Macaca fascicularis: one gene and its partner. The protein of the gene in region 1 purifies or fractionates together with the protein of each later gene. This does not show direct contact. Links are inferred from orthologs where the notes say so. Each region holds a gene or a part of one and is shown on either strand. Other genes may lie near its edges.

The links.
Region 2: the proteins of DHX15 (region 1) and SF3A3 fractionate together in Homo sapiens (co-fractionation; 3 studies listed by BioGRID and IntAct, with this or other methods). This does not show direct contact. The link is inferred for Macaca fascicularis from reciprocal best matches to the Homo sapiens genes DHX15 and SF3A3.

What each region holds. Positions count from the first base shown.
Region 1 is NC_088379.1:23,642,619-23,647,560, reverse strand, and holds the end of DHX15 (ATP-dependent RNA helicase DHX15), read left to right. Parts: intron 1-1,480; coding exon 1,481-1,650; intron 1,651-3,180; coding exon 3,181-3,298; 3' UTR 3,299-3,747; downstream 3,748-4,942.
Region 2 is NC_088375.1:196,928,463-196,934,116, reverse strand, and holds part of SF3A3 (splicing factor 3A subunit 3), read right to left. Parts: intron 5,573-5,654; coding exon 5,520-5,572; intron 5,418-5,519; coding exon 5,312-5,417; intron 2,207-5,311; coding exon 2,134-2,206; intron 1,686-2,133; coding exon 1,594-1,685; intron 1-1,593. UniProt on the Homo sapiens protein: Component of the 17S U2 SnRNP complex of the spliceosome, a large ribonucleoprotein complex that removes introns from transcribed pre-mRNAs.

The DNA of each region.
Region 1 (4,942 bases):
TTGCCCAGGCTTGTCTTGAACTCCTGGCTTCAAATGATCCTCCTACCTTGACCTCCCAAAGTGCTGGGATTACAGACATGAGCCACCAGGCCTGGCTTGACATGTTCTTAAATTTGCTTTTTATATTCAAAAAAAATTGATGAAATTATATTCAAGCATTATACTTCTTAATTATGTAGATTAAAATTTGGTACAAACAGCTGGGCACCACAGAGTGTGCTTGCTAGTAGTGCTTCTCTAGTAGTCCTCGCTACTAGAAAAGTTGAGTAGGGAGCAAGGAGCGTTGAAGCCAGCCCAGGCAACATAGCAAAACCCTAGCTCTTAAAAACAACAAAAAATTTATTAGAAACAACATGCATTGTAATACCTGACACCTAATAGGTGTTTAGTAAATATTTTGAATGAAATTGAGTTTCTTTTCCATTATTCATGTTCATTCTTTATGCACAGAATATTAGAATTGGAAAGGGAGAACTTGTCAATTTTGATGAGTATCACCAGTCAAGGCGTTACCAAAAAAAAAGAAATGAAAGAGAAGCACGTGCAGGCTCTTTTTTTTTCATTTTTATTTTCCTGTCTTTGTAGGTTACCTTTTTCTTTTCCTCTTTGCCCTCTTTAGTTTTCTACCTTATTTTTTATTTATTTATTTTCTTTTTTGAGATGGAACCTCTCGCTCTGTCACCAGGGCTGGAGTGCAGTGATGTGATCTCAGCTCACTGCAACCTCCGCCTCCTGGGTTCAGGTGATTCTCCTGCCTCAGCTCCTGAGTAACTGGGATACAGGCACCCGCCACCACGCCTGGCTAATTTTTGTATTTTTAGTAGAGATGAGGTTTCACCATGTTGGCCAGGCTGGGCTAGAACTCCTGACCTCAGGTGATCCTCCTGTCTCGGCCTCCCAAAGTGCTGGGATTACAAGCATGAGCCACCACACCCGGCTTTAGTTTTCTACCTTAGACATGAATGTTCTGGTAATTGTTTGTCTACTCATAGTTGGCGCCCAGTGCTGAAGAGCCCGCTCTTGATGGTCTAAGGCAGGAAAGATCAGATAATAATGTTGGGCTCTGTGGACCCGTGAGATCCCTGTCAGAACTACCTAACGCTGCCTGCCCTTGGAGCATAATAGGTATAGACAAATGGGTATGACTGCGTTCTAATAAAACTTCCCTTATGAACACTGAAGCTTGAATTTTACATGCTACTCATGCTTCACGGGATGTTTTTTGTATGATATTTTTTCTTTCTAATTAAAGATGTATAAACCATTTTGGATTCACAGACCTTACAAATAGAGGCTGTGAGTTGGATTTGGCCCACAGGTGGCAGTTTGCTTATCTCTGCTTTTATAAGACAGTGATAAAAATGTATAGCCATAGAACGAAAAGTAAAAGGGAGGCCTGCCTTTTCCTAACTATATAGGTAGCTTTACAACTAGTATGTCAGAAGCATTGTGTTAATAATGTACTGGGTTTTTGTTTTAGGTGGCACATTTAGAACGAACAGGGCATTACTTAACTGTGAAAGATAACCAGGTGGTTCAGTTGCATCCCTCTACTGTTCTTGACCACAAACCTGAATGGGTGCTTTATAATGAGTTTGTTCTAACAACAAAGAATTACATCCGGACATGTACAGATATCAAGCCAGAATGGTAAGTACACCTTTTGTTCTAATAGTTTTTTGTTAATACTTCACTCAAAATGGAACCCGACTGTTGCTAGAGTCATGGCCTTGCATTCACTCATTGAGGATTTATATTTCATTGTGTAGGTATGAGGGTATTGACTGGATGGTGTGGTTAATCTTTCACACCCTTCTTTTGATAAGTGGAAAGTGGGATTGTTGATACTTATGGGCAGGATTTGAAGCCAAATGTAAAGTTACATTTGAATAGCATGAAAAGTTTCTTTAGGGGCTGGGCATGGTGGCTCACACCTGTAATCCCAGGACTCTAGGAGGCCGGGGTGGGAGGATCACTTGAAACCAGGGGTTCAAGATCAGCCTGTGCAATATAGCCAGACCCCATCTCTACTAAAATATATATAGGTGTGTACAAAAATTTGCTGGGCATGGTGGTGCTGCACACCTGTAGTCCCAGCTACTGGGGAGGCTGAGGCAGGAGGATTGCTTGAGCCCGGGAGTTTGAGGTTGCAGTGAGCTGTGATCATGCCACTGTACTCCAGCCTGGGTGACAGACCCTATCTCTCAAAAATACTTTTAAAAAGGGTTTAAAAAAATTTTTTTTTTAAAAGAGTTTCTTTGGAGCCATTCTTTTGCTGTTGTGATTAACTCAAGTCAGTACTGTTTCTTGCAGAAATTTTTTTTTTTTACATTTTATTTCTCCCATTACAATTAGCTCTCAACTGTTTGTTATTTATATATTGGTTTTTAGGAATTGTGCAGGCATAAAAATGATAACTCTTTGTGTTTTAACATACTAGCTTTTACAAAATGTAGAGTGAGAACTGATTGTTTTATTTTAAGCAAAATAACCCTCACCTTCATGGTTTTTTTTATTTATGCCAGAATCTGTTCTATAACCTATGATAGGAAATGTCAGCCAAAAGTAGTGGGGCTGAAGGCATGTATTCTAGTTGCTGTCACCGCTTTATATTGTATGACTGCTTTCTTATACAGATTTGGGACTTCTGACACTTAAATTGTGTAGGACATTACCATTTTATCTGAAATGCTTTGTTGAGAAAAAAATTGTATAGCTAAACTTTATAAAATATTTCAGTCAGGTGTATTTTGGGGGTATAGAGTTACAGTTATTTAAAAAAAAATTGGAAATGAGAAGATCCAATCATTTGAATACCACGATGTTTCCTACACAGAACCTGTTACTATATCCTTGGAGCTGCAAGTTAATAGTGTGCCAGAGTAAAGAAATCAGTGACTTTATCTGTTATCCTTACATTAATGTATCTTGAGGGGTTTTTTTGTTTGTTTGTTTATGGTAAGTTCAACATCAAAAAATTTACATCTTACTAAATAAAATACTTAACACATTTCTAAAAGTGCCATTTGTAAGGATTAGTTATTTGTATTTTTATGAGACTTGAATTCATAGATTTGCCTTGGTTCATCAGTATATTAATGAATAATGCCTATCCTATTAACAACTCCAGTATTTCAATTAAATGTTAATTTGAAAATTTTTCTCCCCCTTTCTAAACAGGTTGGTGAAAATTGCCCCTCAATATTATGACATGAGCAATTTCCCACAGTGTGAAGCAAAAAGACAGTTGGACCGCATCATTGCCAAACTTCAATCCAAGGAATATTCACAGTACTGAATTCAGTGCTTAGAACTGAAGTTATTGAGAGGACAGCTTTAAAAGATGAATGAACTCAAAAGTTCGAGTTGTGCTCTTCACGTTGGTTCGATAATGGCCTTTATTTGAAAGCTTTTTAATTTTTCTTTACAGTAAATATTCCATTCTGATTTCATAAATTAAACATTTATGCCTCCCTTTTGTGTTGACACTGTAGCTCATACTGGAAAAGTCGATCAATGTTTTGCAGTTTATTGAAAGTAGTTCTATATATAACAATGTTATAAGCATTTCTTTAGAAATGGTTGAAAATGCTTCTAAAATGTGATTATCGACCATGGTATGCATGATCGTTGTAATTGTTGACATTCCTTTTAGAAGTTGTGAAATGTTACAACTTGTGCTTATGTAGACACAATCTTCTGTCTCAGTACAGAGGCACTGACTTCAATAAAGTCTATTTATACTAATTTTGGCCAAAGCCCTTTGGTATCTTTGTTCTAGTCTCTAAGTATAGCTGTTTTTCTTTTCAAGTGTGGAGCTTTTTTATTATTATAATTATACTCTTACTACATATTTAATGTCTTTCTACAAGGAGTACTCCTTCGGAAAAGTAGCTGTTAAAGCAATGTTTTTAAGAGCATGGCTTAGCGCTTTGTTAGGTTAATCAGGATGTGATCGATCTAAAAGGAGTAAAGTGTGTGTAGTGATATTTGAAATTGGACCCCAAAAGACAGAACAATGAAAGGAGAGCTCTCTACTTGTCTTAGAGTTCCTTTCATAAGGTTCATAATTTATTATCTTAACTACATTTTTGTCAGATGTTTTTATTATACTTCTAGCTTCTCAAACATATTTATGTTAGGTAAGAGGGAAGCGTATTTTACATCTGTTTTACAAAATTCTTACAGTGTGTTAAAATGTACATTTGACCTTCCATTTTCTGTGATAGGCAGTAGACAAGTTGAACACTTGTCTACATTCATTTTGGAATGAAAATTGAGGTGTTTTATGTGGCCCATAAAATGTTTTTTAATCAATTATTTTCATGTGAAGACTACTGTACTCATTAATGTCTGGACTTCCTCTTCTTCCCATCCTACCTTTATAAGTTTTTAAGCATTAAAGGAAATATATAGATGTGTGCCTGGCATTTAAATATACTTGGTAACTAGCATGTGACTTAGGGAGTTGGGCAAGTTAACTCTTTGAAGCTAACAAGTATGCTTTTTAGTGTAGGTAGGTGTTACTAAATGATGCCTAGTGGCTTGAAAAAGTTAATGTGCCTTGTATAAGTGCCTCATTTTGTTCCCATGGAATAATTTACATGGTATAATAATACTTCAGGTTATATTTAAATATTAAATGTTAGATATTTATGCAACAGCATTTTGAAATGGTTAGATATTCATGCAACATTAAGCATTGGCAACATTGTCTGCCAGAATCTCTTAAAGTTATGTTGAAAAAAATCTAAGCACTTGGTCAGACTGTTCTCACTGAAATGGCAGCTCTCACCAGAAGAATATTTTGCCTGTTAATTTAAGCTGCAAGTGTAGTTTGTGAGGAGTTGTGTATCTTTATAATCTGACCATCTAATTTTAAGTAGGTCTCAGAGTGGTGTAACGTATTATTTAATCTTGGGCTGTGTAAAATGTGAAGTTA
Region 2 (5,654 bases), on another chromosome or scaffold:
GAGGCAGGAGGATTGATTGAGTTCAGGAGTCCAAGACCAGCCTGGGACAACATGGTGAAACCCTATTTCTTTGTTTTTTTTTTTTGGAGACAAGAGTCTCGCTCGGTTGCCCAGGCCGGAGTACAGTGGCGCCATCTTGGCTCACTGCAATCTCCGCCTCCCGGGCTCACACCAATTCTCCCGCCTCAGCCTCCCGAGTACAGGCGCCCACCACCACGCCCAGCTAATTTTTTGTAGTTTTAGTAGAGACGGGGTTTCACCATGTTAGCCAGGATGGTCTCCAACTCCTGACCTCGTGATCCGCCCACCTCGGCCTCCCAAAGTGCTGGGATTACAGGTGTGAGCCACCGCGCCCAGCCAGTGAAACCCTATTTCTACAAAAAAAATTTTTTTTTTTGGATGGAGTTTTGCTCTTGTTGCTCAGGCTGGAGTGCAATGGCGCAATCTCGGCTCACCGCAACCTCCGCCTCCTGGGTTCAAGTGATTCTCCTGCCTCAGCCTCCTGAGTAGCTAGGATTACAGGCATGTGCCACCATGCCCAGCTAATTTTGTATTTTTAGTAGAGACAGGGTTTCTCCACGTTGGTCAGGCTGGTCTTGAACTCCCGACCCCAGGTGATCTGCCTGCCTTGGTCTCCCAAAGTGCTGGGATTACAGGCGTGAGTGGCTGTGTCCAGCCAGGAAAATGGTATTTATTTAAAAAAAAAAAAAAAATTTAAAGAAATCTTATGTAAGGCTGGGTGCAATGGCTCACGTCTATAATCCCAACACTTTGTGAGGCCAAGGCAGGCGGATTGCTTGAGCTCAGGAGTTTGAGACCAGCCTTGGCAACAGGGCAAAACTCAATCTCTACACAAAATACAAAAAACTAGCTGGGCATGGTGGCACACGCCTGTAGTCCCAAGTACTTGGTGGGGCTGAGGCGGGATCCATCACTTGAGTCCAGGAGGTCTAGGATACAGCGAGCCAAGATCACGCCACTGCACTCCAGCCTGGGTGACAAAATGAGACCCTGTCTCAAAAAAAAAAAAAAAAAAAAAAAAAAAAAAGATTTATTTTGGCAAAGGTAAAATACGCTTGTTGTATTGATAATGGGCTGGGTACAGTGGCTCATGCCTGTAATCCCAACACCGTGGGAGGCTGAGACAGGAGGATCACTTGAGGTGAAGAGTTTGTGGCCAGCCTGGGCAACACTGCAAGACCCCATCTTTACAAAAAATACAAAAATTAGCCAAGTGTGGTGGTGGTATGCACCTGTATCCTCAACTACTCAGAAGGCTAAGGCGGGAGGATCACTTGAGCCCAGAAGTCGAGGTTGCAGTGAGCAACGATCACACCATGGTAAGACCTCATCTCAAAAATAAAAAAATAAAATTTATTAATAAATAAATATGCTTGTTTTCACTGTAGAAAACTTCATTTTGAATAGTATTTCATTCCAAGAAAGCGTATCACCTCTTTAATATTTACATAACAGTTTTAAAACACAAGGAAGACATTTTACAATGGCTTCATGTCTATGTCTACTAGTTCCAGTCTAGTGTCCTGACTCACTTCGAGAATCAGAACCTCTCTGCCCTTTCCCAGGTCTTACCTCAGATGCCTTCAGGTTAATGTACTTCAGGTAACAGTCATGGAGATCGAGATAACGACCATATCCCTCTTCATCTGTGAACTCCACCAAGTCTGAGGGAATCAGATACATCAATGATTCAGTTTATACACACCACTCTCTTGGACTTACCTTTTCAAATGGACTGCTTGTTCCTAGTTTCCTGAGGCAGCACTTCACCCAAATGTCCTCCCTTTGCTCACAATATAACCTCCAATAAGTTAAGTGAGATCAAAAGTGAGTGTTCTCTTACAAGGTAACAAGGGCTGACTCATTTTAGTATCGTGACCTAAAGTGAACAATCCTTGGCTTTCCAAGCCAGTAAATTTGAGGTAGGAGAGAACAAAATGAACATTGTGCGCCCAAGACCAATTTAGGATGTCACTCTAGCCCAGAAACCAGCAAAGACGAAACCAGCAAGAAATCCTGGCTATAAATATATCTGAGGCCATGGCTGCAAATCTGAGCTGTAATTAACCTGTACTTTTGCTGGTGCCGAATGAAATTTTCACCTCTACTTACTTTGTGCCTCTTCACTCGGATTCTCTCGAGCCTTCAGGAGCTCCTCAAATTCCACTGACATTGGCACACAGATCTGAGGGGAAAAGTAAAAGCTCAGGTGGATTTTTCTTATTTGTTTTTGAGACGGACTCTGCTCTGTTGCCCAGGCTGGAGTGCACTGGCACAATCTTGGCTCACTGCAACCTCTACTTCCCAGGTTCAAGCGATTCTCCTGCTTTGGCCACCCGAGTAGCTGGGACTACAGGCACGCACCACCATGCTTGGCTAATTCTTATATTTTTAGTGGAGACAGGGTTTTGCCATGTTGCCCAGGCTGGTCTTAAACTCCTAAGCTAAAGTGATCTGCCCAGCTTGGCCTCCTAAAGTGCTGGGATTACAGGCATGAACCACTGTGCCCGACCTTAGGTGGATTTTTCAATGTAAAAGTTGCAAGATCACAGAAATGAAATACACAGAAAGTTGGACTTCTGATGATCTGGCCTTGATTTTTCACTAGGAAGCTACTACTGTTCTCCAATTACCTTGTTTTTCCCCGCTTTTTTGTATTGTTTGAGTAAAACTCACTAAAGTAACACATGCTCACAAAACCTCAAAAGTCCACCTTTATTAATTCTCCTGAGAACAGGTAACCACTGTTAACAGAGCTTTTCCTATGCCAGTGGTTCCCAAACTTTGCTGCATATTAGAATCACTCGGGGAGTTTTTTTTTTTTTAATTCTGATGCACCTGATACCAATTAAATCAAAGGAAGGCAGGTATCAGTACATTTTAAAGATCCCCAGGTGGCTCAAATATGCAGAAAGTTTGGAAAACAGTGCTCTATATATTTAAATATATGTATTTGTACTAGTACATTCATGCCTGCATACGTTTTTATTATTTTTTTTTAGCATAAAAGACTTGCTTCTGACACTTAGTATATCTTGGGCATCCTTCTAACCAGTTATTTAAGCATTTATTCCTCGTTACCTTTTGACCATGGCTGGAATAAGGTGAACACATCAGAATGGTATTCATTTATTCTCTCTTGGTTAGCAGAAGACCTCACTCTCCATCCTCCAAGGGGGCTATGTGTGTGAGGATCCCTTCGTTTACCCCCACACTATGTACTGCAATAAACAGCCTCTATTTTTTTGCTGTTTTTAATCTCTTCCTTTTTCCCTGTGCTCCTTCAAATAAGTAAGCTGCTTCTTTTTTTTTTTTTTTTTTTTTTTTTTTGAGACGGAGTCTCGCTCTGTCCCCCAGGCTGGAGTGCAGTGGCTGGATCTCAGCTCACTGCAAGCTCCGCCTCCCGGGTTTACGCCATTCTCGTGCCTCAGCCTCCCGAGTAGCTGGGACTACAGGCACCCGCCACCTCGCCTGGCTAGTTTTTTGTATTTTTTAGTAGAGGCGGGGTTTCACCGGGTTAGGCAGGATGGTCTCGATCTCCTGACCTCATGATCCGCCCGTCTCAGCCTCCCAAAGTGCTGGGATTACAGGCTTGAGCCACTGCGCCTGGCCATAAGTATGCTTCTTTATCTTCCCCAATACCCTCCTGTTTCTCCCCTTCTTTTTCCTACCAGATTTTTTTTTTTTTTTGACGGAGTCTTGCTCTGTTGCCCAGGCTGGAGTGCAGCAGAGTGATCTCAGCTCACTGCAACCTCCATGTCCTGGGTTCAAGCGATTCTCCTGCCTCAGCCCCACAAGAAGCTGGGATCACAGGCGTGCACCACCAAGCCCAGCTAATTTTTGTGTTTTTAGTAGAGACGGGTTTCACCACGTTGGCCAGGCTGGTCTCAAACTCTTGACTTCGTGATCCACCTGCCTCAGCCTCCCAAAGTGCTGGAATTACAGGTGTGAGCCACTGAACCCGGCTGCTACCAGCCTTTCAAATGCATGTTCCATACTCCATACTTATATTTCCCCATTACCCATCTTTACCTTGTGACCAGATTTCCATTCCTACTACTTTAATGAAACAGCAATCCTGGCAGTTATCAATCAATAAGTTGACACCATGACTGCCTTTCTGAAACTCTCTTTTGCTTAACTTCTGTTAAGGCAACACCACCTGGAGTGGTCATGTGACCTTTCTGATGGAAGCCTTCCCAGGCCCTTTTTCTCTTAACTACCTTATTATAAGTGAGCTCCAGGGTATATGAGGGCTAGGCCCGGTGGCTCACGCCTGTAATCCCAGCACTTTGGGAGGCCGAGGTGGGTGGATTATGAGGTCAGCAGATCGAGACTATCCTGGCTAACATGGTGAAACCCTGTGTCTACTAAAAAATACACAAAATTAGCCGGGCGTGGTGGCGGGCACCTGTAGTCCCAGCTACTCAGGAGGCTGAGGCAGGAGAATGGCGTGAACTCGGGAGGTGGAGTTTGCAGAGAGCCGAAATCGTGCCACTGCACTCCAGCCTGGGTGACAGAGTGAGATTCCATCTCAAAAAAAAAAAAAAAAAAGACAGAGTTAGGAGCATAATTTATTGGGGGGAGTAATTTCTGTGAAAGACAAAAAGGAGGAGAAAGCAGGATTAGGCCAGGATAGCCTAGACCACAATGCAGATTGGACAAAATCTTGACCCACCCAATGGGGAGCCGTGGAGCAAAGATAACTCATCAGAGGAGTCTCACAGTGGACCAAATTGCTGGGCCCTAGTACCCATACTGTGCTTAGTCACTGGCCAGGAGCTGCCCACGAAATGTGGCCTTGGCTTTTTTTTGAGATGAAGTCTCACTCTTGTCCCTCAGGATGGTGTGCAATGGCGCAATCTCGGCTCACTGCAACCTCCGCCTCCCGGGTTCAAGTGATTCTCTTGCCTCAGCCTCCCAAGTAGCTGGGATTATAGGCGCATGCCACCATGCCTAGCTAATTTTTGCATTTTTAGTAGAGATGGGGTTTCACTATGTTCGTCAGGCTGGTCTCGAACTCCTGACCTCAGGTGATCCGCCGACCTCAGCCTCCCACAGTGCTGGGATTACAGGTGTGAGCCACCGCACCCGGCCAGCCTTGGCTTCAAAGCTGAGGGAGATGCTGAAAACACTGCAGTTGTAGGATGTCAGCTAACTATGGTCCTTGCACCTAAATGGCAAGTTCTTTCTTGAAGTGCATTTGAATAGCACATGTCCAGTTTCCTTTATACTTTCCTTTATATGCTTTAAAGATAGGTCTGGAGAAAATACTTTTCGGAGGACATACCTCATTTGGGTGCTTCCGGTGGAATTCCTTTATTTGCTTGAGTCTATTATAGAATTCAGCAAACTCATTGGGTCCTGAAATGGCATTGAGCTCCTCCTTTCGTAATCTGCAATTTCAGGAAAATTTCAAAGATAGAGCACAAAGTCAGTCCTCTAACCATGGCTCCTCAGAAGCACTAACTCCTAGATTAGCTGTGACTGTCACTTACCCATCCTTATCATCATACAAATCCCTCAGGTTCCCACTGACCTCCATATACCTCTGAAAGGCAAATACAAAACCATCAGAATGAGGCAATTTGCACAAATGTAGAGCTAAGCAAACAACAAGGGCTCTCCAGTCA